4 linked regions of the Rhinolophus ferrumequinum genome follow. The protein of the gene in region 3 interacts with the protein of the main gene of each other region in a pairwise test. Links are inferred from orthologs where the notes say so. Each region holds a gene or a part of one and is shown on either strand. Other genes may lie near its edges.

Region 1 (8,402 bases), on a different chromosome or scaffold from region 3:
TATTTATTCAGCATAGTACCACCCAATGTGATGAATTCTTTGCATATACTGTCTCATTTAATAATCTTAAAAGTTAGGGACTGGGGGCCAGCCTGGTGGCTCCATGCTCCTAACTCCGAAGGCTGCCGGTTCGATTCCCACATGGGCCAGTGGGCTCTCAACCACAAGGCTGCCAGTTCGATTCCTCGATTCCCGCAAAGGATGGTGGGCTGCGCCTCCTGCAACTAGCAATGGCAACTGGACTTGGAGCTGAGCTGCACCCTCCACAACTAAGACTGAAATGACAACTTGAAGCTGAACGGCACCCTCCACAACTAAGACTGAAAGGACAACAACTTGACTTGGGGGAAAAAAAAAGTCCTGGAAGTACACACTGTTCCCCAATAAAATCCTGTTCCCCTTAAAGTCCTGTTCCCCTTCCCCAATAAAAAAAATCTTAAAAAAAAAAAAAAAGTTAGGGACTATAACCATCCCTATCTTAACTGAAGAGACATAGATAAATAATTTACCCAAGAAGCGGCAGACTAGATTTCAGCCCAGAGCCTAGAACCAAGGTAACAGGAAGAGAGGTAACTGGTTGAGAGAAATCACAGAAATATTAACTCTCAATATAGAAAGGAATACTATTAACCAGTATGCCACCAGTGGTGGCATATAGTTCCTCCTCATACTACTCTGCAATAGTGGTTTGCAATCCTGGCTACACAAAAGATTCACTAGAGGGACTTTTTAAAAAAACTATCCATATTACAGAATTGTACACTTGAAACCTATGTAACTTTACTAACATTGTCACCCCTATAAACTTTAATAAAGAAAAGGAAAAAAAACTATCCATGCCTGGGACTCTCACTCAGATACTTGGCATTCAATTGGCTTGGTCTGGGGCAAAGGCAGGGATATTTTTTAAAGAATTACCCAGGTAATGCTACTGGGTAGCTAAGATTGAGAACCTTCTCTCCCAACCTGTTAACCTCTCCAAGTAGTCAACTACAATCATATTTACTGATCATCGATTTGGTTCTGAATCCTTTGCCTATTATATTTTCCATTTACCTAACAAAGTGCTTAGCTTTTCTCTTCCTTAAACGGAGGAAACATTACAACTATAGCTACACCTTTATAAATAAAATCTTGCCAGCTTTGCTTTGACATGAGGAATGTAGGGGGAAGGGTGGGCAGACAGCATGAAAAAGTCTGAAAATCCCTTTAAGCACCCATATACTCCTTAGGTTTAAAATAATGTAAAACTGCCCTAAGAGTCAAATTAAAAATTAAATGGCAGGCTATAAGACTAAAAAAGTCTGTGAAATATGTTAAAGAAAGATTTAATATCCATGACATTTGGTTATAATTCTTAATTCTGCTGGTGATGACAGTTAAAACACTGAATAACTGTTATTGTGGTGATAAATTCCATTGTCTTTTCATGGCGCTGTGACAGCGATTATGCAGTGTTTTTACCCTGTTAAGTCACCTGAATATAAACTAACAGGTGCTAAAGAAATCAAAACATTATATAAGCATACCCAAACAACAATATGGCTGGTCATACCATGGATTGAAAAATGCAAGGATTTTGATGACAATCTCATATGAGAAGTCTTCCTGTTTCACTAAAAGCTATTCATTGCACATCCCACTCACCCTAAACCAAAATATAATGAAAACTGTTAACAGTCTCCATTTGCTGGTCCTTTTATGTTACTAAAAACGTGAACTGAGATATCTCACAAGCATGGAAGTCTGATCTATGATTTAAACAAGAGATCTAAACTGAAGAAGAGTATAAACAGTCCAAGTTGTACAAAACTCTGGACTTTTGGAGAAACATTACAAAACTTCCTGCTTCCGGGTAGCTCATTATTTGATTGAAATCTTCACATTCCTTTATTAGTCATGACCTTTCGGAAGGCTCTCATTCCATATTGTTTAGATATCAGACTTTTAAATTATGTTAATCAGACTTACAGGAACCCTTATCAAACGAAGAAGTCATCCCAGAGTTCATACGCCAAGGAGGGACTTAGATTACAGAGAACCCTCAGTAACCTGAGCAGTGTGTCCACCACGTAGATTTAAAAAAAAAAAAATCAGTTGTAGACATATATCGTTCTGCATGTCTTAAAATATATGTTGATCTATACGTTTTTATTCTATACAATTACAGGAACTTGCATTAGTTCCGCAGAAACTGACTCTGCAAGAAACTGGGAAGACCTGCGAGTATGCGTGAAATACAGACACAATGACAGTGAACCGAAAGTCATTACCGATTGTCACTGGGGTCTCACACGGCCCAGATCTGTCCTCGGAGCCATATGTCACTAGACTCAAAGGCCCAGACAAGGAGAGAGAACTACAGGTTAACTAGATGAAAAAACAAGGGGGAGGGACCTCATGAATACGTGTATTTCCATCCCGAAGCTGGAGGGGTGTCCCGCAGGGCAGACCCTCGAGAAAACCCTCTGCTTCTGAGATCCGTCACATCGCTCCAGGCCTGTAGGGCCTGCTAAAAGGTGTGTGGGGAGGAAGCGCAGGGTCTATCCCCTTCCGAGACCGAAACATATGAAAATAAAGCAAGTTCTCACTTCCTGGTCGCCTACTTTCCCGAAGGCCCCCGACACAAGACGGACTGCGGGGAAAGAGGGCTCCCGAGGAGTAAGGGGGGGCCCGGCCCAGCCCTGAACCTCCCGTCCTCTCCCTCGCCCTCCTCCGGGCCTTACACGGTGACGTGACCAGAGCCGCGGACCACCACCGGGTCCGGAGAGTACTTGAGCAGCTGCTCCTCCAGGGCCCGCTCCTCGTCCTCCTCCTCCTCATAGATCTCGTCGAAATCCGCCATCCTGAGCCTCCGAGGCCCCCTGCCCAAGGGGACCTGACTCCAGGGGCTGGGGTTGGGGTATGGGCTGGCGAGGCGGCGGAGGCTGAGGGGAGTCGCTGCCGCGGGCTCAGAGGCCGCGGAGTTGGCTCTTGGCTGTCTCCGCTCCGACTACACAGGAGATGGGGTCCCGGCCGTCGCCGTCGCCGCCATTACCGTCAGCAATAACAACAACACAATGTCAACATCCGCCCAAGGGCCGATACCACCAGCACCACCACCGCCTCCGCCGCCACCGCCGCCGCAGCAGCAACTCCGGCAACCACAGCAACAGCCAGAGCCACCCGCAGCGGGAGCAGCAGGCTAAGGTATCGCGAGACTTCCCGGGAGCGAGGGCAGGCGTGTGGGCGCGCGTACGTGAGGCCTCGCGCGCGCCCTGGCTGCCTTACTTCCTCCACTTCCACCCGCCGACGACGCCTCGGGCGCGCGCTCCCACGGCGTGGCTCCGCCCCCCAGCAATTGGATCGCGGACCCGCAGGGGAATAACTCTGCGGACCAGATGCGCTAACCTCGACTCAGCGAACAGAGCTCCGAGTGTCCAGTGGGGCACGTGGTTCACCAAAGGCGTCTCTAACCAAAAGAACTAAATATGAAAACCCTGGCTGAAATAGAGAATTTATTGTGCGTTTGATTGCCATTTTATCTAATAGTCTCGCTTTTCGTCAGTTTCTTAATCTGATAAGAACCAAGGTCTGCATTTCCCCAATGTCAGGAGCCCCACAGACACTCTGCAAACATTTTTGTCCATTTTAGTACAGAATTTTTTAAAACTTGTCCAAATTCAAGCATCTTGTCCCACCATCCCCTTAAGTAGTTTAACATGTGAGGCCAGGGATGCTGATACCTTTTTTTCTTACAAGAAAACTAACTGTAACTAACACGAAACAAAACTGACAAATTCTCTGGATTCCAGATTGAAAGATGCAGTTTCCTGCACCACAGCCCTCATCAACCATAACCTGTTTTCTTCCACTTAAGATCTTAGGGAATCTGTTTACTCCAACAAAAGAAGGGAAGGAAATGGGTGGGGCAGGGGAGGAGGGGAAGAGATGGGAGGGAAGGGGAAGTAGAGGAAGAGTTTAATGGATTCCTCTAACCTGCCTAGACCACTAGTAAAGGCCTAAGGGTCACCTTGGATACTTGGTTTCATTGTCAAGAACCTGCCCTACAAATAGTTCCTGGCATACAAATAGTTCATGGGCAGGAGTGGTCTCCTGAGTTATGGATATGGAGCATATACCGTGGGGACAGGAAGGGAGAGTAATATTGGACCCAGCACTGGTCAGACTCTTCTCCAAGTACAATGTTCACACCCTAGCCATTTACTGTAGATGGGTCATTGTTGAAGTTGACAAAGTACAAAGGAGGGCAATAAGGACAGTGAGAAATGCCAAACTATCTCCTATTGGAAATGGTTGAAGGAAATGAGCATAGTTAGCCAAGAAAAGATGAAGGAAGAACACAGTGGATGCACAAGTATCAGACTTCCTGTATATCTCCCTAGAGGACATTTATTCATTTATTCATTCAAAAAATGTTTACTGCCGAGCTCCAACCACATGGCAGGCACTGTGCAAATTGTGTGTGTGTGTGTGTGTGTGTGTGTGAATGAGATACAGTCCCTGCCTTCCAGTAGCTTATTTATCACAAAGGCAAGCAATTGTAATTCTGTTCGGTGCCCCCAGAAGAGTATCCAGATGGTTCTAATGAAGCACACAGAAGGCAGCTTGATTCGGTGATTCACAAGGCTCTGGAGCCTGACTTCTGCCTTTATTCTCAGCTCTGCCACTTACTGTGTGACCCTGGACAAGTCACTTAACTTCTCTGTTCCTCATGTGTGAAATGAGGACATAATAGTACCTACCCCATTGGGCTACTCTTCAGATTAAATGATTTAATATATGTGAAATGCTTAAAAGAGGGCATGACATAGAGGGGGAAATAGGGGATCTTCTAAGGCCCCTCCAGCTAATCAACTCTATGAGGAGCAGCACAGTTTTTTGCATTATGTAATGCAAAAACACATACGTATAATTTAATACTCCCCAAGACCCTTGTGAAGTAACCAAGGAGGCTGTGATTTATTCCTTAGTTTCAGAGATGCTATGTGACTTTATCATGGGCACATGGCTATTTAATAGTCAAACTCAAGGCTTCAACTCCAGTGTATTGGGCAAGCCAATTTTCTTCTTGGCAGGAACCTAAACGCTAGTGGTTACACTCAGTTGAAGAAGTAGCTGCAAATAGGAGGGTGAGAAAAGGGAACAAGAGGAAGGAAGGTCAGTCTGTCCCAGGCACTGACACACACCTTTCTGTGGCCGAGATGAGGGGCCAGTGCCCCAAAGTATCTGAATCATCACAAAGCTGACAATTTTCCAAAGTCAGAGGAAGTCATTCACAGCTCCTGAAACCTCCAATACTTTCCACAGTTACCGCTCCAGAGAAGGGGCTCAATAAATTTTAACTGTATTGAGATATATTGTTACTGATGCTATTTCCAGAACATTATGAGTTAATTAGGCTTCTGAGGGCTGTGAGAACCTTCCCCTTATCTTAACACTAGTCCTCTATGGGAGAAATGTTCTGTTCTAAGATCTATTCAACAGAGAGATCTTTGTAACTCCCATCGCCTCAGTGTAAGGTAGGGGCTGCCTTATTTTTGTTCTTCTATTTTGCTCTTTTTCTTGCTCTAAAAAACCTGTCAGAGCCAGCATAAGGGTGTGGGACCTGGACAAGGCCCAGAGGGTGAGGGAAAATGTTGACATCAGAATTCCAAACTCCACCTCCAACCCTCCAGTCTCCAATTTCCTGTCAAACTCCTTCCCCAGTGTCTTCCTGGGGATGAAACCCCTTCTCAGTATCTTTTCCCTCGGCGTTCAGGTGCTTTCCTGTTCTCTACTGGAAGGACTCCTCTCTATTTGAGTTCTCCTTTATTTACATTCCTGCTTCACACACTTTCACATTTGCCTTCAGATCAAATAGCTCCAAACCAAACAGGATAATGCCTCAGGGGCCTCATGAAGCAACAAATCCTCAGTTGTTTTTAAGGCTCACATTCCTAGGTTGAAAACTTCCAAGTTCTGTCACTACGTAGCTGAGTGGCCTTCAGCAGATTCAGTTTTCTAAGCTTCCTTTTCTTCATCCTGAATTGAAACCTGTGTCATGGGGTTATTAAGGGTCAAATGAGGTAATGTGTGTGCTATAGACTGAATCATGTCCCCACACCCAAATTCACACATGGAAGCCCTACGCCCCAATGTGATAGTATTTAGATATAGGGCTTTGGGGAAGTAATTAGATTCAGATGAGATCATAAGGATGAGATCCTCAGGATGGGGTTAGTGCCTTCATAAGAAGAGACCAGAGAGTTTGCTTTCCCCACCACCTTCCCTTTGATGTGAGGACACAGAAAGAAGACTGCCACCTGCAAGCTAGGAAGCTGGCTCTCACCAGGAACCAAATCAGACAGCACTTTGACCTTGGACTTCCAATCTCCAGAATTGTGAGAAATAAATTTCTGTTGTTTAAGCCACCCCAGCCTATGGTATTTTGTTATGGCAGCCTGAACTAAGACAGCATGTAAACTCTCATTTTTCCACTCATTCATTCATTAAACAATTATGCATTGAATTATTCGCATGTGCCATATTCTGTGTCAGGAACTAGGCTTTAGCAATAAGGCAGTAAATAAAACACAGTCCCTGCCTTCATGAATCATACAGTTTATTAGGGAGGGCTAACAGATGATTACAAACATAACGAATTTTTAGAATTGTGATCACTCCTGTGGAGAAGAAGAACAGGGGACCATGAGAGCAGTTAATGGATCCAACTCACTCTGAGAAATGAAGAATTCTTTTCTGGAGAAATAGCATTTAAGTTAATGAGCTAAGCAAAAGTATGAGGTTAGGGAAATAGAAGAGATGAGAAACTTTCAGACACTGGGAACAGCATGCTTGTCTTAGTCTGTTTGGGCTGCTATAACAGGATACCACAGACTGGACAGCTTATAAACAACAGAAATGTATTTCTCCACCCTCATGACATAATCATTTACCAAAGCCCCCACCTCCTAATACCATCACGTTAGAGGTTAAGATTTCAACATATGAATCTGGAGAACAAATATTCAATCTATAGCAATGTTTAAAGACACTGAGGGAGAAAAGAACATGGTCTAAATTAGGTACAAGCCAAAGCCAGTGTGGTTGGACCATAGTAAGGAAGGCAGAGCCAAATTGAGACAGGGTTGAAGAGGTTGATAGAAACTTGAAGGCCTTGGTAAGGGGATAAAAGTAAAGGAGATACACTGAAGCCAGGCAATAACATCAGATGTACATTTTAAAACCCCCAAATGAGAGGCCAATAGTCCAACCTACCCAGCATGCATCCCCCACTTCTTCTGAAAGCAGCACACATCCCACCCTCCCTGGATGATTTGTGGTAAATCATATTTCCCCCACTCTCAGTACATGTGATTAGGTTAAGCTCCAATTCCAAGAGTGGACATATAACCAAGGGCTGAAAATCAGAGAGCATGAGATACCCTGGGGCACAGTGGTTGGTTTGAATGGATACATGATTCAGACAGAGTCAATAAGATTAAATACCAGGGCTTTTAACAGAACTATTGGAAAGGAGTAGCTGACCTGATTTTCTATGAATCCACTAAAAGCCATATTGCTCTTGTAATGGTAGAAACTGCCTGAAAATGATGCCAACACTGAGGAAGGGATAAAGCAAACGTGACTTTACCCTGATGACTATGTTTGAGTCCCCCGAGTTTAGCCACAGCTAAAGCTCTCCCAAGTTTGTAGGAGAGGATAGTGAATTCAGTTCATGGAATGTGAAACACCCAATGGAGTAGAACATAGATAACAGAGATATTAGATAGATGGATAGATGTGTGGGTGGATGAATGGATAGATAGATAAGACAGAAAGGGAGAAAGGAGGAAGGGGGAGGGTTCAAAAGAGAAGTCTTGGCAGGAAATAAATACATTTGGTTCCATCAGCTCATACATGATAAATGTAGCCATAGAAGTGACTAAGATGGCTCAAAAGCCAAGAGTGAGAAGATAAAAGGATCTAGGATGAAGGAATTTCAGTGATTAGAGATGAGGAGAGGAGGAATGACAAAGGAAACTGAGAGGGAGGAGCCAAAGTGATGAGAGGCAAACTGAGAGTGTGGAGTTATAAGTACAATAAGGAGACAGTAATCATCCATGTGAGATGCTACAGAGATTATGTAATATAGGAATCAAGCAGTGTCCAGTGTCCACTCTATGGAGAAGAATAGCAGGTCCTGGAGAAGGACTCAATTTGTACAACCAGCAATTGGCCGTCAGAGCCAACACAGAACCCTTTGACTCTAGAAACTCATAAAAACCCTAGATCGAATATAACCATTTAAAAATACAGAAACAAAAGGCAGCATAACTCCCCATTCTTTGAGTGTGAACTATACATATAGACTTCCTTCCACAGAGCACTATATGGAAAAGAGGGGAAGACTAACTTTA
Region 2 (8,184 bases), on a different chromosome or scaffold from region 3:
TTTCACAGAAATAGAACATATAATCCTAAAATTTATATGGGACCATAAAAGACCCCGAATAGCAAAGGCAATCTTGAGAAATAAGAACAAAGTGGGAGGTATAACAATACCTGACTTCAAATTATACTACAAGGCTACAGTAATCAAAACAGCGTGGTACTGGCATAAAAACAGACACATAGATCAATGGAACAGAATAGAGAGTTCAGAAATAAATCCACGCCTATATGGCCATTTAATCTACGACAATGGAAGCAAGAATGTACGATGGAGTAAAGACAGTATATTCAATAAATTGTGCTGGGAAACCTGGACAGACACATGCAAATAACACATGGACCACCTCCTTACACCATATACAAAAATAAATTCAAAATGGCTTAAAGACTTAAATGTAAGATCTGAAACCATAAAATACCTAGAAGAAAATATAGGAAGAAACTTCACAGACATTACCCGGAGTAAGATTTTTACTGATATATCCCCTCGCTCGAGGGAAGTAAAAGAAAAAATAAACATGTGGGATTATATCAAACTAAAAAGTTTTTTCACAGCAAAGGAAACCATCAATAAAACAAAAAGGGATCCTACTGAATGGGAAAAGATATTTGCCAATGATATATCTAACAAGGGATTAATATCACAAATCTATAAAAAACTCACTCAACTCAACTCCAAAAAAACAAACAACCCAATTAAAAAATGGGCAGAGGACTTGAAGAGACACTTTTCTAAAAAGGACATACAAATGGCAAACAGACATATGAAGAATTGCTCAACCTCACTACCCATCAGAGAAATGAAATAAAAATCACAATGAGATACCACCTCACCCCAGTCAAAATGGCTATCATCAATAAATCAACAAACAACAAGTGCTGGCACGGATGTGGAGAAAAGGGAACGCTTGTGCACTCTTGGTGGGATTGCAGATTGGTGCAGCCAGTATGGAAAACAGTATGGAGGTATCTCAAAAATCTGAAAATGGAACTACCCTATGATGCAGTACTTCCACTCCTAGGTATCTATCCGGAGATATCCAAAACTCCAATTCAAAAATCTTTATGCACTCCTATGTTTATTGCAGCACTATACACAATAGCCAAGACATGGAAACAACCAAAATGCCCATCGACAGATGACTGGATTAAGAAACTGTGGTACATTTATACAATGGAGTACTACGCAGCCATAAAGAAGAAAGAAATCTTACCATTTGCAACAACATGGATGGACCTAGAGAACATATGTTAAGTGAAATAAGTCAGACAGAGAAAGATAAGTACCATATGATCTCACTTATACGTGGAATCTAAAGAAAAGAATAAGTGAATGAACTAATCAGAAACAGTTTTGGAGACAAAGAGGAAAAACTGAGGGTTGCTAGATGGGTGGGGTGGTGTGGGTAAAGGGGAAGGTGAGGGGATTAGAAAACAGTCAGTAACCACAAGATGGTCACGGGGTTTTGAAATTAATCTGGGGAACGTAATCAATAATGTTGTAAAGATTTTGTAGGGTATCCGATAGACATGTGTCCCATTTGGGAGACCATCTCAGAGAAGATGTAGATGCCTGATCACTGCACTGTACACCTGAAGCTGAACAATAATGAATGCCAACTATAATATTATATATATATATGTGTGTGTATATATATATGTATATATAGGTATGTAAACATTTACAAGAGGCAGAGTACAGCATTGGGAGTGGAGATAGTGGAAATGGGATGGCTCGGTGCGATGTCAGAGAGATAGTGGATGGGGGAGGGGGGGTCCACAGTGTGAGGGATATGATAAACATCTAAGAAAAACTAAAAAACAAAAAAAAACTCATAGACACAGACAACAGTTTAGTGGTTACCAGAGGGTAAGGGGGGTGGAGGGTGGGAGATGAGGGTAAGGAGGATCAAATATATGGTGATAGAAGGAGAACTGACTCTGGGTGGTGAACACACAATGTAATTTATAGATGATGTCATACAGAATTGTACACCTGAAATCTATGTAATTTCGCTGGCAATTGTCACCCCAATAAATTAAAAAAATAAATTAAAAAATATATATATGTATATAAAAAAAAAGAAAAGAAAAACACCCCTTCGCTCCTTAATGTTCTTATGACCCTGTATTTGTATATCAATTTTTCTTACTTCCATTTTTTGTTGAAAGCAGTCTATAATTTTTCTTTCATTACTATATGGGGTGTAATCTTTATATCAGAGAAAAACATTCAGGGTTTAATAGCAATAACCACAAAAATTTGTCTAGGTTTTCTGCTTTTTAAAACATTACCTCCTGAAACAAACAAACAAAAATAAATAAAGAATAATTTGTCTTGGTAAATGGGAGCTGTTTAGATGAGAAAACTGGACAGATCAGGTAATTATCATCAAGGTTCTAGTTTTTCTCTTGGGGTTGGTGTGGGGACAGAGTCCCAGAGAGCAGTTTCCAGGCTCTCGGCCTCATGTGGAAAGGTGCTCATTCGAGTAGTGCAGTAATTCCAGGCTATCAACTGTGATTGGATGGCGATCAGCTGTGGCTAGTTGGCCGTCAGCTGTAACCAGTGAGCCATTGGCCACTAATATAACTGCCGAGGCTATGCTAGCAGAAAATAGTGGCTGGCAAGGGTGGAGTGTGGATTGAGGATTGCAGAGAGGCGGACTGCAGTTATCAAGTGAGGTGTGTCATTGGGCAGAGACAAGTGGACAGCGGGTTTCGAATGGTGTGGCTCCTGCTTCCTGTGCCTCCAACCCAGCCGCCAGTGAAACTATAGTGGTATGACTCCCATATCTATGGCTCTGTGGGTGTTCCTTTTTGGCCTCACCAATATCCTGCATTCTTATGCAGGGAGCGGAACTAGAGACCCTGCCTGACGATGCCCTGCATGACAGTTGGTTTGAAAACAATTTTGATATATTGTCAGTAAGATGAAGTGAGTGAGCAATGACGCTGAAGCTTTTTTATGGTTTTATATTCTTTCTGGATAAACCCTTTCTTTGTCAAGAAAGGATCATGGATTGTGGAAATTGTTTTACCTTGACGTCATACACAGCCTTGGTGCCCTCTTCGTTTTCTGCGGTTTGGTGAATATTTGCATTATATCCTTCAGCCCTAGGCAGGGGCAGAAATTGCTTCCACATGGATGGCCTGGAGAAATATTTCTGAATGCATTCTTGGTTGTCTTGGGAAAGCCTGGGCATGTTTTTACAATAAAGGCTCCAAATGAATTCTGTAGCCTGATTTTAACAACACCAGTCCAGAGTCCACCCTATTTCTTTTCTTTTGGCTGATGCTGAGCCATCTCTCAGTCTGCTGGGGGGCTCCCTGGAAAGTGACACTAATCAAAGCAAAAGGATTATCTGTTTTGTGGATCAGCAGCTTATCCACAGATCTTTAATGTTCTGTTCCAGGTGGAGCCTCTTATTTTGAATGCCTACTTATGTTATGACTGCCCTCTACAGGTAGCAATGTATTCCTAATTAAAATTTAATCCTAAATCAAAACTGAAAAAAATGATTCAAGCAATATGTTACTTAATATATACTGATAAATATGAAATAGTGCCATTTGTGACAACATGGGTGGATTTTGAGATTATTATGCTAAGTGAAATAAGTCAGACAGAAAAAGTTGAGGACTGTATGATTTCACGGATATGTGGTATATAAACCTGAAAACAACAAAAGAACAAGACAAACAAAGGAAGAAACAAAAACTCATAGACACAGACAATAGTTTAGTGGTTACCAGAGGGTAAGGGGGAAGGGCGGTAATAAATGAGGGTAAAAGGGATCAAATATATGGTGATGGAAGGAGAACTGACTCTGGGTGCTGAACACACAATGTGATATATAGATGATGTATTACAGAATTATACACCTGAAACCTATGTAACTTTACTAACTGTCATGCAGGGTGTCATGCGGGATCTCTGGTTCCGCTCCCCATATAAGAACGTAGGACTTGGTGAGGCCAAAAAGGAACACCCATGGAGCCATAGATAGGGGAGTCATACCACTATAGTCTCACTGGTGGCTGGGTTGGAGACACAGAAAGCAGGAGCCACATGATCCGAAATCCACACTCCACCACTTGCCAGCTTAGCCATGGCAGTTATATCAGTGGCTAATGGCTAACCAGTAACAGCTGATGACCAAATAGTCACACCTGATGACCATCTACTACCTGAGCCAGCACCTTTCTATGTGAAGCCGAGAGCCTGGAAAGTACTCTCTGGGGCTCTGTCTCCACACTAACCATTGTCACCCCAATAAACTAATTTAAAAAAATGAAAATGGATTACTTGACAGTCCTGTGCTTTGCAATTGAAAGGCAAATGGTTCACCTAATATATTTAGGTTTTTTAAAATATCATTTTAGTAGCAGCAGTCAGCTTTGTGGATAGAAATGTATGCTAAACTCATATGCAAACTCAAGGTTAAGGATTATCACTCTTTATATTTATGTCATGTAGAATTAGTTAAAATGATTTTCTTATGAGGCAGCTAGTCATCTAATGATTAAGCCAAGAATTTGGCTTCATACTTTATAAATATTTCATATTTATAAATACTTTATATTTATAAAGTACTTTATAAATATTTCATATTTATAAATACTTTATATTTATAAAGTACTTTATAAAAATAAGATTTTAAACAAAGTGAGTACAAAAAGGTAGAACATAATACCTTTCTTTAAAGAAGTTATCTAATGTCTGAGTTGTCTCTGCTGGGTCTGGGGGCACAGAGGTAAGGGCCTCAGGTGTGTATTACTGGGGACTATGAACTGGAGAAATTTCCTTTTGTAAAATGATCCCAGGAGCTCAAAATTGATCTGTAAAACAAACAATCTCTATCAACATCCAGCTCCCTTTTTTCCAAAAATTGACAAGTTGATTCTAAAATTTGAGATTATAAGGGACACAGAATATCCAAAACAATCCCAAAAAAGAAAAACAAATTTGGAGGATTCACACCTTCAATTTTAAAACTTAATACAAAGCTACAGTAATTAAGACTATGGTTCTGGCATAAGAATAGATACATAGATCAATGAAATAGAATTGAGAGTCCAGGAACAAACTCATACATTTATGGTCAGTTGATTTTCAAAAAGGTGCAAAAACAATTCAATGGGGAAAGAACTGTTTTTTCAAGAAATGATGCAGGAACAACTAGATAGTCGTAGGCATAAAAATTAAGTCGAACCTCTACCTCAAATCACATAAAAAAATTAACTCATAATTAATCATAGACTTAAATGTAAAAGCTGAAACTATTATACTCTTTGAAGATAACATAGGGATAAATCTTTGTAACGTTGGATTAGGCAAAGCTTTCTTAGATACAACACAAAAAGCACAAGTGATAAAAGAAAAAAATAGGCAAGTGGAACTTCACCAAAATTAAAAAATTTTGTTCTTTAAAGGACATCATCAAGTAAGTAAATATAAACCCACAAAATAGAAGAAAGTATTGAAAGTCGTAGCTGTGTAATAAGAAACTTGCATCTAGAATATTCAAATGCTCTCACAACTAACAACAACAAAAACCCCCAAACAAGTGAAAATGGGTGTTGTATCTAAACAGGCTTTTTTCCAAAGAAGATATACAAATCACCAATAAGCACATGAAAAGATGCTCAACATCATTAGTCATTAGGGAAAGGCAAATGAAAATCACAGTGAGATACCATTTCACATCCAATAAGTTGGCTCTAATCAAAAAGACAATAACAACTGTTAGTGAGTATGTGGAGAAATTGGAACTCTCATACATTGTTTATGAGAATATAAAATGTTGTAATCAGTTTGGAAAACAGTTTGGCACTTCTTCAAAATGTTCACCATAGAGCTACCTTATGATCAAGCAATTCCCTCCTAGATATCTACTGAAACAAATGAAGTGAAATATATGTTCACACAAAGACTTATACACAAATGTCCAATAACTGGAAAAAACCCACTTTCCCATCGACTGATGAATAGACAAAATGAGGTGTATCCATACAATGGAATGTTATTCTGCAATAAAAAGGAATGAAGTGCTACAACATGCTACAACATGGATGAAATTTGAAAACATTGTGCTGGGTGAGAGAAACCTGTCACAAAAGATCACATGTATGATTCTACTTATAAGAAAATGCCCAGGATAGGCAAATCTTTAGATACAGGAAGTAAATTAGTGGTTGCCTAGGGCAGGAGGGTTTGGGGAGAGATGGAGAGTGACGACTAATGAGTAAGAGGTTTCTTTTTGGGGTGATAAAAATGTTATAAAACTGATTGCAATGAGGGTTGCACAACCCTGTGAATATGCTAAAAATCAATAAACAGTACATGTTAAATGGGTGCATCATATAATATGTGAATTATATCTCAATAATGCTGCTAAAGTTTTTATTTAAAAAAGATAGGAAACTTTCTCAAGTGCCCAAATGTTTCAGAGTAGGGGCAAGAAATATCTTAACAGTTAAAAAAAATGTTTCTCAGGGACACTTAAGTGAAGATATGGTTGAACTATCACTGGTCTGAGGGTCTAGAAACCTGGTATTTGTTTCTGGACTCTTAGAATGAAAACAGAACAGGTGGTATTAATAGTCTCAAATTGACATGTGCAATCTTTGGAGCTGGAAAGGACTATCAAGATCATCTTGTCCTCCTGCCCATTTTGTCTTCTTCATTTTGTGGATGGGGAACTTACATGAGATATTAGGTGATATGTCCAAGGACTACATATAATACTGTAGCTGGGACCAGCCTCCACATCTCCATACACTAGGGACAGAGCACAGTGTTCTGTGCCACTCTGCAAACCAAATTGTTTGTATTTCTCTTTTTCTTTAAGAATATCACAGGTCCACCAGAATTTTTTTCCTCTTGCTCCCACTTTCACTTTTGCACATCTATTCTGGGGTTAAACCTTGGAAGAAACATTTTATTTGGATATTTGTTATCTCTAGCACTTTCCTCATACTTGTAATGATTCTCTATTTTGGAAACTTCTTTCTACTCAGCAACTATTTCTATGAAAATTCTTTCATCTTTAATTTGCTTTAATAAAATGTTGCATACTCAGTGTTTGTTAGATTCTAGTAAACATATTTTTTCATATTTGAGGTGTGTGTGTATGCATATAATGGCACAATACCATTGACTGGCCTTTCCTGGCATTCTGTGCCGAAAAAGTTTCCTGGAAATTGCAGTAAGAGGAGTTTGCATGAGAAAAGAATTTTACAATTTATTGAAAGTTGAGTAAAATACTTGTTGACAAATACATATATTTATTCTACATTATCCTAAGTTAAAGGACATTTCTTAAAGTGTCAGTGTAACTAACAGGCAGAGCTGGGAGAATTGTGTCTAAGAAGCACAAACATCTCAGAGTGTGATGAGAGGAGGAAGGTTAATGGACAATTAATAAAACTCTGACTTTGTTACTAACTCATAACAGTGATGGAAAACAAATGGATTGAAAACCAATTGAGTAAAGTATTAACGGAGTTGAACTATCAGAGAACCCTAAGCCTGGCAAAGCCCACCCAACACTCTTTCCTTAGGTAAAGGAAACTGAAGATATGCAGATCCAGAGAGGAAAATCCTTACAGAGGCTCATCTCAGACAGTTATGGAAGACCAAGACTAGGGAGGGTTTCAGACTGCACAATTAGTCATAGCTCAGACTGTGGATCAAGTCATTTGCTTTATTGATAGAATAGCCTGTCTTTGCTGTATATCATGAATCCAGTTACCTTGTTTTCCTCCATCACTGTGTATCGAAAGTGGTGTAGAAGCATCACTTAACCATGGATTGACAGCCTTAAGGACCCACACATACACCAGACCAAAAAGACTGCAAGTCACCAAACGATCCTTGACTTTCATCCAGATGCAGTAAGTAGAAAAGATTCTGGGTTGTCTTTTTTTAGAATGAGTGAGTACATCTTAAATCTCATGTGGGATATGTTAAGTGGGAGCATTTCTGAAAGTGTATATATGGAAAAAAAGGGAGGTATGCCTCTGTGTGTGTGTGTGTGTGTGTGTGTGTGTGTGTGTGTATGCTGGTCTGTCAAGAATGTAGTGGACTTCCCGCCCCCCACCATTTATGTACTCTTTTTCTAATAGTAGCACTCTGGTTTTCTTTGGGGAAATACATCTATCCCATTCTCAGGCCGTGTTATTT
Region 3 (7,359 bases):
TAATCCCACCACACCTCAACCGCAGTTACAGGCCGAGGTCTCCCAGAGGCGGCCGGAAGACGCCGAGGGGGCCGCTGTAGCAGTGGCGGTTCTCAGTGGCCGCCCCAGGTTAGGGGCGCATCGCCAACGCAAGCCCGTCATTCTTTCTGCCGGGTCCTCGTTGCGTACAATGGGGTCCCAGCGGGGAATGAAAGGTGACCCAAACAGATGCCGAAAGGGTCCCGAGGATTTAGGAGGCCTGTGTTCAGCAGGTCCCGTGCGCTCTCTGACTACCCTACCAGCTGAAACTGCGACCCCAGGACCGGATCCGGACTGGAGAAGTAGGCCTCAGGGTCGCTCGCGCTGACCTGGGCTGGAAGGTCAAAGCCTCGCTTCCCTACTTGTCCCGAACCTGAGGCGCTACCCTCAGGGGTCGGGAAGTGGTGCTGAGGGAGTGGGACTGGGGCCCCAGGGGACCTGTCTCTTCACCCCTCTTAGCGGGAAGTCAACGCAGGCCTGGGACCTGGGCTAAGGAGTTCAGGGAGAGACGTGAGAGCTAAAGAAGTCTCCCGCCCCTATCCTTCGGGACGCACGGCCTGGGCTGGGAGAATCCAGCCTGCAGAGAAGGGGACGAAAAGGAAACAGCCGGGGCTCTTGGGCCTCGGCGACTCTGCTAGGCTGCAGTGTGAGTTTCAAAGACTTTCTTTAAACTTAACACTTCAGCTCGGTTACTTCGGAGGAGGCGGGGGCGCGGGGCCGCAGCGGGGCCCTGGGGTCCTCCGCGCACCAGTAGGGGAGCCAGGCCGCTCTCCAGCCCCGCCCACGTGCCGGGACCCGGGAAGTGGGGACCCGTCTGAGGAGAGGAACGCAAGAGCACCCGGCGCGTACCAGAGTCCCGAGCGGCCCGGCGGCTTTCTCCTTACCTCCCTCAGCTCTGGGGCTGCTCACCATCTACCTCGCGCCCTCACGAACCCGCCGGGCAGTCAACCTGCAAAACAGAACCGCAGGAATTATCCGCCGGGCTGGCGTTGTCTAGGACCGCCGATTTCTTTCTTTTCCCAACTTCCCTCCTCCCGTCTCTTCCTTTCCACTGGCTTTATGCGTGTCCCTCCAAGTTTCACTTTATTGCACAGACACTTTGCAAAACCCCACACGCTCCCGAGACACTACCTTGCCCAGGATCGTGCCAAGGGGCCTCAAGGGGGAGGGTGGAGTGAGAGGGGCAGAGTTGGGAGGCAGCTCGCGGTTGCCGCTGCACTCCCGGTAAAACGTGAGGCGGTGGGGGCTGGGGAAGTCCTGCAGAGGCACTTTACAAACTAAATAAATCAAGCGATTTACCTTGTCGGTGTGGCTTGTCTTGCCCGGTTGTTTAGGTGATTGGAAATGTAGCCTGATGAAGATTGATCACCTTTCTACTGCCCTCCCTGGGTATGTGAACGCGAGGTGAGTGCGTAACGGGGCTAGGCTGCCAATCCTGGGCCCCGCGCGGGCTGAGTGACAGGGAGCCGGGCAATGGCAGCCCGAGTCGGGGGTTACCTCCGCGCGCCCCCGCCCTCCCCCGCCCCCTGCACCCCGCCCTCGCTGCACGCCCGCCCCGCCCCGGTCGCGCGCTAACTCCCGGGCTTGGCTGGCAAACTACGCGCACAGCCAGGCGAGGAAGACTTGCACAGACCCGGAGCCCCAGCCGCGGAGGGGGACGCCGGTCCCCAGGCCGCCCTGGAGCCCCCGCCCTTCTCTCACCCTTTCAGCGCCCCGGAGGGAGTGGCAGAGAGGAGGCGAGGTGCTGGAGAACCGGTTCTCTAGCTCTCCCGAGCGCCACCCGACTCAGCGGCCGGGTTGTGGGCGCGAGGACTCAGGCGGGCTGGAGGAGAATGGGCCCCCAGCCCCCGGCCCCTCGCGCGGCGCTGTGGGCCCCAGCGTCTTCTTCCATTGCGCCGCCACCTGCAGACGGACGCCGCGGGCAGCTCGTGCCGGCACAGGCTACTCTGCCGAGCGCGGGCGCAGCGCCGGGTGCGCAGAACCCACCTCGGCGCCCCAGGACTCCCGCTCCCGTGAACAGCACCCGCAGGAGAGGCCCCGCCATTTACCTGCTCCTCGGCGTTTCCTGAAGTTCCCAAACCCCACGAAGGGTGTTTGCAAATCTTAAACGCTTCTTCTGAAATGTCGTGTCCCCTCCCAGTGTTCCCTTCCCCTTCCACACACACTCTACTTCTGAATCGAAAATTTTTGATAGGAAACTTTTTCTTTCACACTCCGTCTCTGTCTCTTTCCCAGTATTCTTCTACCAGGGACAATCGGGTGGAAAAGGTGGTCACAGATCCCTGCCTTCATTTTCTTTCCCACATGCCGCAGAAGGAGCCTCCCTGAAGCGATTTTCCCGTATTGTTCGTACTGGCAAAGCCCATTTCTCAGCCAAACAAACTTCTCAAACACGTCCACCTGGTGGACTTTTCAAAGCTCAAAAAACGTCTTTTCGCCCCAATCCTGAGCAAGGCAATTCTTTCAAATGGCACCTCCTCCTGAATATTAGGCACGACTTTACTGCCTTTCGAGGAATTCATACCCCTTTTTCCTAATCCCCCTTCCCTCCACCCCTACAGGCGGAGTGAGAAGTTTGGACAGGAGTAGGTGTGAGAGAGAGTCAGGGAGCCGCCGGGCGCATTGAGGGGGTCGGGCACCGAGAGAGGACCGGGCGCTGCGCAAGGAGCAGAAAGAAGGGGGAGCCCGCTGAGTGGAAAGGGGCCGCGGCCGCCGCTCATCAAAGTGCTTCCCCCTCCCCCAAGCGACACTTTCCTTTGGAGTCCGAATAAAATACGGTAACAGAATATGATGGAGGGCACACTGTTTCCTTAACTGCTTCTCAAAGGACCTGGGAGATCTTCTTAGGACCTTTAATAAGGCTTTGGTCGGTTCTTTTGTTGATCTCTCAAAATCAACTCCTTCTAATTGAAGTTGGAGCTGAAAGCGAGCTAATGTTCAAAGAAAGTGGCCGCCAGACCAACGAAATTACATTTTTTTTTTTTGGAAGATGAGGGAACATCTAATCAAAGGGGCCAAGGAGGAGGGGTCGGAGTGGGGGAGTACGAAGGAGAAAAGGAGGTTTTACAAGATCCTTCTCTGGTTCACAAAAGTCAGCGACACGGGCGCTTCTCTCTAGAACAAAGACACCGCAGCCCATTCACAAAAGAGAAAGACTGAGAGAGAGAGAAAACAATAAAAGAAACGAGAGAAAAGGAAAAACATGAGAAAGAAAAGCTTTAACTGGAAAAGAAACTGCGCAGAGCGCAGCGCTGACCCGGGCGGGGACACACCTTAGGCTTGCGCAGGCCCCGGCAGGGAGTAGCTCGCGAGGCCCGCGGCTCGGAGCCCTCGGAGACGTTGCAGAGGTTTACAGAAAGAAACGAAATACACCCTCTCCTTCAGTTCTGGGAAAAGGCGCGGGCTGGAGCACAATAGTTTTGGGGGAAGCGAATGCGGGCGTCCTGGGGTGCGCTTTGGCAGCGACTGTGTCCCTAGCAATGCGCTGCTCCAGCCCAGGCCTGCGCGCTGTGTGTGTGGCTTAGTCCTCCAGGGCCTGGGTGCGTGCCTTGTCCTAGACCCGCCACCTCTTGCTCTCATGCTTTCTCGGCGCCCGGTTATGCCTGCAGCTGCAGCGCGGGGCGGAGGTCCGGCTGGGCGAGGTAGGGCGGTTGTGCGCGTTGGAATGTGCTCAGGCGGTCCCGAGGGCCCGCCACGCGGGAGCCCTGCGCTCTGGGTTCCAGATGCTGCACGGTCTCGGGGAAGTTGGGAGGTATCAAGTAGCACGGTCTCCCCCACCCCCCCCACGCCGCCAATGAGAGTACTTATCTAATCCCAAATTGCAGGCGAGTTTTCTTAATGCTCAACCCATAAAACCCCGGGATTAAGAGAAGAAAAAGAGAGGGGAGAGGGAGGAGAATAGAGAGAGACTGAGATGAAAGTTTCTTGTATGCGTCGTACAGGACTGAGGCGGCCGTCACTAGGCACATGTCCAGGTGGGAGACACTTGGCCAGAAGCCTCGACCTCTCCAGCAACGGCCGTAGCGCGGGGAGGGGAAGTGGGGGCATCCCCGAGAGAAGGCAAGTCGACTCAGCCCGTGGCCCGCAGGGCCGGGGAGGGAGCGTGGGAGTTGGGCTCCGGGACCCGGATCCAGCATCCAGGTGACCTCGAGGCCAGGCCATACTCTGGAGGACACTTGGTACAAGGGGAGGGGTTTGGCTCCGGGGACGTGGGATGCTGGCCAGAGGAGGAAGTTCTGCACCGGCCCGCCGGGCAGTGCCCAAGCCAGCCGGTTGCCAACGCTCCTCCTCCTCGGCGACCCCCGCGCGCACAGCTTCTTTTCCTGCAGCGCGGGCTTTCGGGTTCCCGGCCTCTCCGTATGCTGGGCTCGCGCCTGTGCTCAAGAAGCAGCCCCTGGGCACAACGCGAGGCAATCGGGACACGGCGCCCTCGCCACGGGCCTGACCCAGCTAGTCCTGGGGGCCGCTCTCCGCCGCCGCTGCGGGGCGTGCGGGCGCCACGGCGCCAGGTCTTCGGGAGCAGACCAAATGGGACCCCAGCGAGGCTCCCGCCTGGGGCAGGAGGGGCAGCAAATCTGGGGCTTGGCAGGTCGGGAGCGGCTTGGGGGAGTCGCCTCTCTGTGAGGCTCCTCGGGAGGGAAGGTTCCCCGAATCCAGCGTAAATGGGGTGGGTGATGCTGGCCTCCCAAACGTCAGGCTGCTCTGGGCTGGCGATTTCCGTCTGCCGGCTTGCCAGGGCTTAGAGCGTGCGTCTGAGAGCTTCCCCCAGAGAGCTGCCGCTGGCTCGGCTCTTCTGCTCGAATAAAGAGGGCAAATACCCGATTTCACTGAGTTCCGATAACTTTTCAATAACTTCTTAAAATTTCTGTCGTGAAGAAATTCTACGGTAGCAAGTGTTTATCATTTTGAAAGACTGGCAATTGTAAGTGGCTGCATATTTTCGAACGAATTTATGTGTATGTATAAATATTTGTGTGTATGTACACACATATATGCATATACCTATATATATGTATATATACATACATATATATGATCTAGGCAAAAGTATATTTATTTGCGAGTGAACTGTTTTCTCTCTCCAGACTTGTTGAATGAGCTTTCTTTGTTTCGGACACCTCTGTAGAGGAGTAATGGAAACTACCGTAAAAATCGCCAGTTTCTTTCTGTTGCCTAGAACTTCTTAAAAGTTCCCTTTTCCTCACCTCATACACACCTGCAGCACTTACCCCCTCCCCCCCACCCCCCAGCAATAAACCTTTCTTTCACTTTAGCATCTACAGATTTGCAGGCTATTAGAAGTTGTAGTTCTTCCTCATATGGCTGTAAAATTATAACAATTGAAAATAATAATGTGGAGAATTCATCAAGATATTAACATTTTTTTCAGTGCTGTGGAATCACAAATTTCCTCAAATCTTTAACAGAAATGACCGTTTATAAAAGATAATAGTTTACACTGCTTAAGAAAATATGACTAACTGCTTTTCAATTCGAATTCCTGTGTCAACAGGGCCCCTCCGGGATGGTGTAAACTTATTCAGCTCCAAATACAGCCCAGTATCCTGCCCAGTGCTCAAGTGGACCATTTTTTTCCCCCACATGAAAAGTCCTACAGAAACACAAACTTCTCAAACCAGTGTCAAGTTTTCATTGCAAGGAAGTAGCAGAGTGTTTAAGGTAAGAAAGTTTCTGCTTTTATTGAAAATTTATATATGACTTCAGCATTGTAATAAATAAACAGGTAACCATTTTCACAAAAAAATGACAGTGCTACGCTAGAGAAGAAAATATTAACTGGGGGATTTACTCATAGTGGCAAGACAAACTTTTATCAATACAGAATAAATATTAACAGCATTCTTGAGCCAATGTTGAAATCCAACAAAATGTAGGAACCAAGCTAGATGTAATAAATAATTATCTAGAGAAAAAGATGGCGCATTCTCAGAAGATAAGACTGTCTTTGTAAACTGATGCATGTCAATTAATACCATCTTCACAGCTCACCTTCAAATCACAGGACTTGTCTCAGGCTATGTTAAAGGGCCATCATCCTCTGAGGAAAACAGAGGAGAGGAACTCTATTATCCTTACAGTGAAATGCAAAACAACTGCAGAAAATCCCACTGGTAAATAGAACACAGTTTAATAAGTAGAATGAATATGATCTAACTATAAAATTTAGGTAACAGAGTCAGTGTTACATATGGCAGGACTGGAAAAAAAAATCATTCATGACATTTTTCTTATTCCCTTCTTACCCCCCTCCCACCGTCATTATGCTATTAACAACAACAAAAAATGTTTTCAATTTCTTCCTATCAAAAAGTGAGGGAAAATACTGAGGGAAGGGTTTTCTTTTCTTTCTTTCTTTGAACAGTTTCTTGAACACTCGTAATACCAATCATTCACAAGGTGTCTGTGCAAATCTATCTCACATGATTTCAAGGAAATGATTAACTCAACAAAAAAACCCTTAAACAAAGCTATTTTGGAGTTCTGTCTATTATCTGGAAAGGAGGGAGGAAAAGGGGTGGTGGTAAAGAAGCATAATCCAGCCAAACAAAATGTTAAAAGTTTTAAATCAACGAGTCTGACATTTTCTGGTCTGGGGACCCAAGACTAAAATGTTGGGAAAGATTCTGGTCCGGCTACTATTGAAGAACACATTTCTCTTCTTTCTTGGCCATCTTGCCTTTGTTTTGCTCCAGAGTTCGCTCCAAATGCTCATCTTCTTCTTCGGCCCTGGAAGTCAAATAGGAAACAAAATTATTTTTCTACGTGGAGGGCAAAGCCAGCATTCCCCGCTTGCCCTGCATTCCGAGCCCCAGCGGGAATGGGCACAGCGGGGCCAGTGGGAGGCTGTCCCGGCCCATTGGAGACCTCTGGACTGAAGTTTCCGCAAACTTCTCGGCCCCTCAGCAGGCAGCAGAGCCTGGACCCCGATCCCAGTGCCCACTTACTGCTTCTCCTGCGCGTCCAGGTCCCTGACGAGCGCGTCGCGCTTGTTCACCAGGGCCACCAGCTCATCCAGCAGGAGTTGCTCCCGTCGCTTCTGGGCCTCAGTCTTCTGCCAGTCTGCAAAGGACCGAAGGCTCGTTACTCACCCGCGGGACACTCGCAGCCCCCCCCCCCCCCACACACACATCCTCCCTTCCCGCCTTTTCCAGTTTCCTTGTACTCTGCAAACCATATTACAGAGGCACTAGCTAGTGTTCTGTGGGGTGTTTGGCCATCGTGGTAAGGTTTTCACCCCTAAAACGCTGCTTTCTAAATATTTTCCGCAGATGGAGATGGCTACGGCTGAGTTGGACCCTGCAAAAGAGACCAGGTGTGAAC
Region 4 (7,619 bases), on a different chromosome or scaffold from region 3:
AGGGACTCTCAGCAGAAATGTGGTTGGATGGATTCCCATCCCTCTTGGCTCCATACCTCTTTGTCTATGCACACCTTCCACTTTTTCAGAAAAGCCCATGTCTTTCAGCAAATTGACTTCTAACAGGAAAGCCATTATTTCTACAACTGTAGATTACAAGGTAAATGTTTTCTTACATTTTAGTCTATGAGTTAACCAGAATTTTTATTAATTCAGATTTAGATTTGGTTGTTACAATAATGTCAAATGGATAAGAATGTATATACAGAGGGTGCCAAAAAAATGATGTATACACATTTTAAGAAAGGAAAACTATTAAAATAGTAATAATATATAATGATAATAAAAGATGAATACAAGTCACATTTGACTTCTGCAATTACAAGAGGTGCTCAAAGTGGTTACCATCAGTGTCCAGACACTTCTGATTACGGTGAACTACCACACTGCTTGAGCAATGTTGACCAAAGTGTCCACTTGTATACATTTTTTGGCACCCCTGGTGTGTGTGTGTGCATGCATGTATGTGTGAGATATATATATATATATATATACACATATATACATATATTATACATATATGTATATATACATATATATACAGATATACACACACATATATATGTATATATATACATATATATGTGTCTGTGTGTGTATATATATATATGAATATATATAATTTCCCTTTTCTACAAAGTCCCTGGCCCAAGGAAATGTTAAGGAATGTTATCTATTATTATTTTTCAGAAGTTTAAGAAGTCCACACAAATGATAGTGAATTAGACTTTCAACATTATTAAATATATTAGGACCCTAAAAACAAAGAGCTATGTATTTAAGACGGTAAAGCTGAATGCCTTAAGAATTGAACAGGGACACCAAATTAATTCTCCTTGTTAATTCCTTTCCACAGAAACAAAATACCAAGAAATGGCTAAGGAACCAGAACAAAAAGGGTAGAAATTGGCAAAACACCCACCTTATGTTGTTTGTTCTGTAAATCAAGTGGTTTTCAGAATCTTTCAGACTACAAATTCAGGATGAGTGCCCATGCTTCTGAGATCAGGTGTCACTGCCATGGAGATTGATTTTATTTAATAAACGATGCTATCCAATCACTTTGTAATAATAAACACTTGTTTTTACTTTCTCACCTCCACAAATCACAAATAAACTACTCTTCCATGGTTTCTCTAAATATAGTTTTTAAGATGATAAAAAATAGTGAGTAAATCTACTCTCCCATGGGTGTGCTATTTACTGTTTTAGTTCATGCTAACAGAAATAGCTCAATAATACCAAGTTAACTGGAAGAAGTCAATGGCTCATTCCTTTGAATTGATGAGTAGGAATCACCTTTTCATTAGATATTAGTGCTACAATGTATATTTCATGCATTACTGATACTACAAAGGACTTCAGAAACAAATACAATTTACATACTGTGTTTCAGTTTTCAAAATTACCTTATACACACAGTGTCTAGCTATGAACCAGGAGGAAAAACACTATTTTCCATTACAAAAATAAAAATTGTTTCTCATTTCTCCAATTAAATGAGGGTTCATCACCCGGAAAACCAGTATGTATGAACGCCGGAAATGCAGATGACATCCAGTCTCAGAAATGCTTATTCTAGATGCAAACCAAACTATAAGATTTCGCTTTATATATTATTTGAGATAGACATCCCATGATGGAAATAATCTTGCTGTAAAACAATTTTTAAAAATGAAACAGCTATGGGAAGCTTGCAAAGTTCTCTAGACAAAACCTTCGGGTGACTCCTAAGAAGGAAGCATTTATCAAAGGGTCAAGGAGGTTTGGAAAACTATGTCAGGAGCCAGAGGCAGCCTTGCCTGAGCAACTGAGATTGTCCCAGGTGAGCCAGTGTCCCGGCTCCGGATGGAGGCGGAGGGCGCAGGGCGGGTCCCGGCAGGGCGGGCTCCTTTTTGGCCTGGCGATCCCTGCCGTCTCCAGGAGCCTAGTGACTCTGGAGGATGGCGCGGGCTGCGCGGGACGCGCTGCCAGCAGCCTCCCGCTCGCGCGGAGCATCTCCACACCGCGTCTTCCGAGGCCAGCTCTGTACCTCCGCCATCCTCAAGTCCTCCGACATTTTTCACGGAGACAAGGAGGTAGTAAGAAGGGGAGGAAACCGCCAAGTGTCTGCACCCTGCCTCTGCCGCAGCACAAGAAGAGGAGAGGAAGCGGGAGGCTGGCGAGGAGGCAGCTATTACACTGATTCCCATCGATAATAAAAGAATCATCATCACCCGCAGCAAGAGTCTCGGGTACACCCACCTCGGCAGCGGCTAAGGGTTGGGTGGGCGTTCCTCCTCCTCGCCCCTCGGTGGCTGTGAATCCACCTCAAGCCGTGCACACACGAACTCCTTTTCCTTCGACTAAGAGGAGGGGAAGGAACAAAAGAGACCCCCAACCCTGACACACACAACAAACACCTCAGATGCTCAAGGTATGCGTTTTTTGCAATCCCATTTTTACACCTTCTCCACCTGAATAGTGCATTTTTCCATAGGTAAGAAAGAAAAAATACCACCCGAGGTGATCGGTCGATTGTACACTGTTAATTTCACATTCGGTTTTCTAACAACCAACCAGAAAATCCCGCGGGACCTCGCGACCCCGCAGGGTCTCCGCCGCCCTCGGCCTGGCCCTCTCTGCACGTTCCCCGAAGGCGCTCAGCTCTCCGCTGGGAACCCACCCGAGGGTTCCCTGGGCGGGCAGGACACTCGCCCCGCCGCTCCGCAGCAGCTGGGGGGCGGCGAGCGGACCGCGCCGAGGCGGCAACGCGGATTCAACTTCCCAGACCTGCCGCGCGACCCCTGCTCCCTCCAGCGGCCCCGCGAGCGGCGCCTAGACCCCCGCACGGCAGCCTCCCCCGCCAGGGCAAAGGCAGTTGCACTCTCCGCCCCCTCTTGCCTTCACCTCCCTCCCCCACCCCCTTTAAAAAATTCATCCATTGGTGCAAAGCAGACATTTTGCTGTCATTTACTTCGCACCGCTCGGTTTCAGTGGTAACATCTTACCCAGGAGCCTGGAGGTGTGGGCAGCTCTCCGATGGGTCCGGGGGCGCGAGGCTGAGGTGCTGGGTCCTCTAGCGGAGCCTGTTTGCTGCCATCCGTCCAACTTCAGCACCCAGCAGGCGAGGAGAGGGAGAGAGGCGAGGATGCAGGGGAGGCGGGAGGGGGCGGAGGGAGCGGTGGGCGGGGAGGGAGCGGGAGCCTCACGGCAGAGCGCATGCGCCCCACGGGCGGGCGCAGCCCCTCGCGGGGCTCGGCCGGAGGGGCCGGTTCCCCCGCGCGCGGCCGCGTGAGTCACGGCCCCGCCCCTCGCCGGGCGGCCCGGCCCCCGCGCGCTGGCCCGGGTCCCGCGCGGGCGGCGAGGAGGGTCTCGGGCGGGGCCCCCGGGCCCCGGCGATCTGGTCCCGAGCTTTGCGGGGGCCTTGAGACCTGGGAACCTTCTGATTAGAGAGGCTGTGGCAGCCAGGCCCTTCACAACTGCACCGTTCCCCCGTGGCCCGGGTTATTTTGTCCTTGCGTTTAGGGGAATGCCTGAAACCAGAAGCCTGCCGCCGCGGGGTCCCGGGGGAAGCAGTCCCTGGGTGGGCGGGCAAGAAAAACTGTGAAGTGAAGCAAGGCTTGCTTACCACAGGCTCGGACTTTCAGAAAACTTCTTCCCTTCATTGACGCCCTCACTCAGAAATCGGACCCTTTTCCCTCTGGTTGCGGATGCTCTCGGTCTGGGAACGTGTTCGCCTCAGGCGGCGGGACCGCTGGGGCCAGAGTTGGGAGTGAGAGAAGGCAAGAGTCGTGAAATTATTGACAGAGGTGTTGATGCTTGGGGTCTGGAGCATCCTTCCCGGACGGGGGACAGCTCAGTCAGTAGCTAGCAGGTCTGATGATTGTTCAGTTCACCAGCGGAGCCCTGCTTGTAGGGACGGCGCTTTGGATGCTGAACGCATCATGGGCGCTGCATTTGCATCTCTGAGGATTAGGTAGAAGTGTCTGTGGGGTGAATGAGGGAAGCGCGTGTCTCTTCTTCAGATGTGTCCATCTGTGGGAAGAGGAGTAAGTTCTGGGAGGAATGATTCGGCTTTTTTTCTTACACCTATTAAAACTGATTACTTGTAAATAGTATATATGATTTCCCTTTGCTTGTGAGTTCATACATTCAAAGAGTGTCGGCATTACCGCAAAGTCCTTTACTGGCCTCCTGGCCCCCTCCCCCCACATGACTTAACTGTGTCTCGGGGTTTGCCCCAGGGGCCTCCTTTCTCTAGCTACATCAAGGCTTTGAGTACTGGTGCTCTTCAAAGTGTGTTTTCTGGTCTGGCGTTGTCTACAAATTGTTCCTTATTGGTCTGTAATGAAAGATAAGTACAGTACACAAATTGAGAGTAAGATTTAGAAACTCTATAGCAATTGGACATTGCCTTGACATCCAAGCACATTAAGCTGTATTTTGTCTGTTTTATTTTACTTGTACAGTAATTCATTTTTGTGGATTTTACAAACGAATTGGCCCCATGAGCATTAAAAATAAGGTCTTTCTTCAAAAATGTTTTGAGCAGCACTGAATTCTACGTAACTCCCAGATTGATATCTTCTGTCCTGATCTCTCATAGAACTCTTTTCTGTCCTCAATACTCTTGCAATGCCACTTGAAGAATAATTATAATAGTTAATATTTAGTGAACGATTACTGTGTGCTAGGTGCTGATCTAAATGTTTTGCATACGTTTCTATTTTTTTCTCCAAGGTAGGTACTATTATTATGTTTAACAGACATCTCAGAAGCAGAACTCCAGATATCCACCCGCTCCAAACATGTTCCTCTTCAAATTGTTCCATCCAGTTACTCAAGTCAAAAATTTAGAAGTCGTCTTTATTCTCTTTCGGTTTTTTTCTAATTAAAGTTGTCACACAATATTATTAGTTTCAGGTGTACAACAGTGATTCTTAATTTTGTCTTTCTTTTACCCCCTACACCCAATTAATTAGCAACTCATGTTGTGTCTCTATCTGCAAAACATGTCCCCAGTTCATCTACTTCTTCCCTCTTCATTGCTATACCTTGGTCAAGCCTCTATCAATCTCTCACGTGAACTACCCCAAAGCCTCCAGCTGGCCTTTCCTCCACAGCCCCAAAACAACACAGTCTTCAAACAACAACTGAATGATCTGTGGGGACAGAGTCCCAGAGAGCAGTTTCCAGGCTCTCGACCTCACGTGGAAAAGTGCTGGCTTGGGTAGTAGATGGTCATCAGCTGTGACTAGTTGGCCATCAGCTGTTACGGGTTAGCCATTAGCCACTGATATAACTGCCGTGGCTATGCCTAGCAAGTGCAGATTGTGGATTTCGGATTGCAGAGAGGTGGGTTGCAGTTAACAAGCCAGGTTGGTTGGCAGAGAAGGCAGGACAGTGGGTTGCGGATCCTGTGGCTCCTGCTTCCTGTGTCTCCAACCCCGCTGCCAGCGAGACTATAGTGGTATGACTCCCCTACCTATGGCTCCGTGGGGATTCCTTTTTGGCCTCGCCATGTGGTGTGTTCTTATGTGGGGAGTGGGACCAGAGACCCCGCATGATACCCTGCATGACAGTGATTTTTTAAAAACATAACCAGATCATGACACGCTTCTGCTTAAAAACTCTTTAATGAGTTTTTATTGCACTTTCAATACAGCCCCTAATCCCTTACAACAGCCTAGCAGGTTCTATGCAATCTTGTCCCAGCATAGGTCTTTATACAAGGCTCCCATAGACAATAGCTATGTGTGCTGTAGCCACATCGGCCTGTTTCTTGTACTTTCTTCAAGAAGTCTAGCTTATACTTGCTGTTATTTCTGTCTGGGAAGCCTCTGCGCCCAGATCTTGCCATAGTAGGCTCCTTAATATCCTACAGGTCTTTGCTGATCTATCACCTACTCAGGATTTATCTTACCACCCAATGTACTCTGCCCCAGAGTTATTCTCTTGGATCCCCTTGCGTTATTTTCTTCCAAATACTTTTCAACCATCTGAATCAGCTAACGTTTATTTATTTGTTTACTATCCCCTCACCGCCCTCTAGAATCAAGTATCTCAGGAGCTTTGCCTGCACTTTTCACTGTTTTATCTCTAGTGCCTAGAACAGCTTTAGCATTGGAACCTAGTACATACTCAGTAAGTATTTGGTGAATGAATGCATGATTGAATGAATAAATAACATGCTTAGAAAATGAATAACGTGTTCTTTATTTCTGTGATGCTTCTTGTCTTGGATCCTCATTGCTGCTTCTCAGAATGTGTTGTTTCTCACAAGGGCACAGACAGACTGCATTGTTTCATCTGTCCACTCTGTCAGAGATGGCTCCTTGCACTTCAAACTAGATGCCAGAGTAGTGTTCCTAGAACCATCTTTAAAACAAGCATACTTGATAACAAAAAAGATCCTTACTTCCATGAACTTCCCTAATTGCAATAAAGGCTGTTTGGGCAAATTTTTGCACTCATGATAACCTGACTATTCTGCCAATAATTTACTTGCCAAAGTCAAGTGTAATCGCTTGGTGACTTTCTTTCATGGTTGTGGTTTGTTGTGTAATCTTTTATGTGTTAACCAGAATCTTCAGTAATAGTGTCCTAGTAACTGGACATGTTGCCTATGATCTGAGTGTTGAACAGGTGGATGGACTGACCACAGCTTTAATGACCTTGACCTCATAGAGTTTGATCACTTGCAGTCCATGTGCATATCTGGGTCTTCAGAAATATGTGCAACACCGATGACATCAAATGATGACTGGGTCAAAAATTCAATTTAGTAAACTTATTCAAGTCCACTATATGCCTGCTAGTATGTCTTCAAGTTACAAGCAAAAAGTGTAAACGTTATATAAAATTATTGTATATGACTCAGAAATGAATTTCAATGCATTTTAGCCATGGAGATGCCTTTTTTTTTCTTTTTCTTTTTTTTGTACAGAATTTCAGAGCTCAGTGGGCCTCTTGTCCTTGAACAGCTGTGTGGTAACTATGAAAAGCAGCATTGATCATGACCATTTCCGTACTGTGTGAATGTGTTTTCAAGTGGAGAGAATCTGGTACAGCAGCAGATTTTGGTATAGTGACTTCATAGTAAGGCAGACAGGAGATTTGCAGGCAAGATATTTGCAGACAGAAGATATTGGGAAAGGACAGAACGTCAAAGTATTTATAGTACATTTACTCATAATTCGGGGTATTTGTCATTGGGAGAGCTGGAATCTACCTCAGTGACTTTGGTACCCTGGAAAGGTTATTTCAGGAAGTAATTGTGTAGCATCTTTCCATTTCATTCTCTCTTTCCTTACATCATGCTCATTAAAAAAAAAAAAAAAAAAAAAAAAGCAACTGTTTTTACCTTTGAAAAGCAGAGGAAAAAGAAAGAAATTTGCTTGCGTCTGGGAACCCCCGACTGCTCCATCCAGAAAAACTCCTCCAGAGGAAACGGTGGAGGGATAGTTGAAATATGACTGCTTAAACACATTTTTTCCTTTACTTCTAGTAAACAGGGCTTATCGTGTTTCTTCAACTGGTTTTAATCAAACCTTAGAAACAGGCTCTTCTGAGGGAAC

Evidence for each region.
Region 1: the proteins of OTX1 (region 3) and CHIC2 interact in binary tests that used the Homo sapiens proteins (3 or more experiments, as listed by UniProt). The two-hybrid records come from large-scale screens. The link is inferred for Rhinolophus ferrumequinum from reciprocal best matches to the Homo sapiens genes OTX1 and CHIC2.
Region 2: the proteins of OTX1 (region 3) and RGS20 interact in binary tests that used the Homo sapiens proteins (3 or more experiments, as listed by UniProt). The two-hybrid records come from large-scale screens. The link is inferred for Rhinolophus ferrumequinum from reciprocal best matches to the Homo sapiens genes OTX1 and RGS20.
Region 4: the proteins of OTX1 (region 3) and RGS17 interact in binary tests that used the Homo sapiens proteins (3 or more experiments, as listed by UniProt). The two-hybrid records come from large-scale screens. The link is inferred for Rhinolophus ferrumequinum from reciprocal best matches to the Homo sapiens genes OTX1 and RGS17.

What each region holds. Positions count from the first base shown.
Region 1 is NC_046288.1:16,508,592-16,516,993, forward strand, and holds the start of CHIC2 (cysteine-rich hydrophobic domain-containing protein 2), read right to left. Parts: upstream 3,203-8,402; 5' UTR 2,846-3,202; coding exon 2,727-2,845; intron 1-2,726.
Region 2 is NC_046297.1:24,429,454-24,437,637, forward strand, and holds the start of RGS20 (regulator of G-protein signaling 20), read right to left. Parts: upstream 3,203-8,184; coding exon 3,044-3,202; intron 1-3,043. UniProt on the Homo sapiens protein: Inhibits signal transduction by increasing the GTPase activity of G protein alpha subunits thereby driving them into their inactive GDP-bound form.
Region 3 is NC_046296.1:26,506,385-26,513,743, forward strand, and holds the start of OTX1 (homeobox protein OTX1), read right to left. Parts: upstream 3,389-7,359; 5' UTR 3,291-3,388; intron 1,787-3,290; exon of another isoform or gene 1,720-1,786; intron 1,420-1,719; exon of another isoform or gene 1,318-1,419; intron 968-1,317; 5' UTR 903-967; intron 1-902. Other genes in the region: EHBP1 (EH domain-binding protein 1), read right to left, coding at 6,675-6,765, 6,984-7,098. UniProt on the Homo sapiens protein: Probably plays a role in the development of the brain and the sense organs. Can bind to the BCD target sequence (BTS): 5'-TCTAATCCC-3'.
Region 4 is NC_046286.1:96,009,488-96,017,106, forward strand, and holds the start of RGS17 (regulator of G-protein signaling 17), read right to left. Parts: upstream 3,203-7,619; 5' UTR 3,051-3,202; intron 2,406-3,050; exon of another isoform or gene 2,305-2,405; intron 1,076-2,304; exon of another isoform or gene 983-1,075; intron 1-982. UniProt on the Homo sapiens protein: Regulates G protein-coupled receptor signaling cascades, including signaling via muscarinic acetylcholine receptor CHRM2 and dopamine receptor DRD2.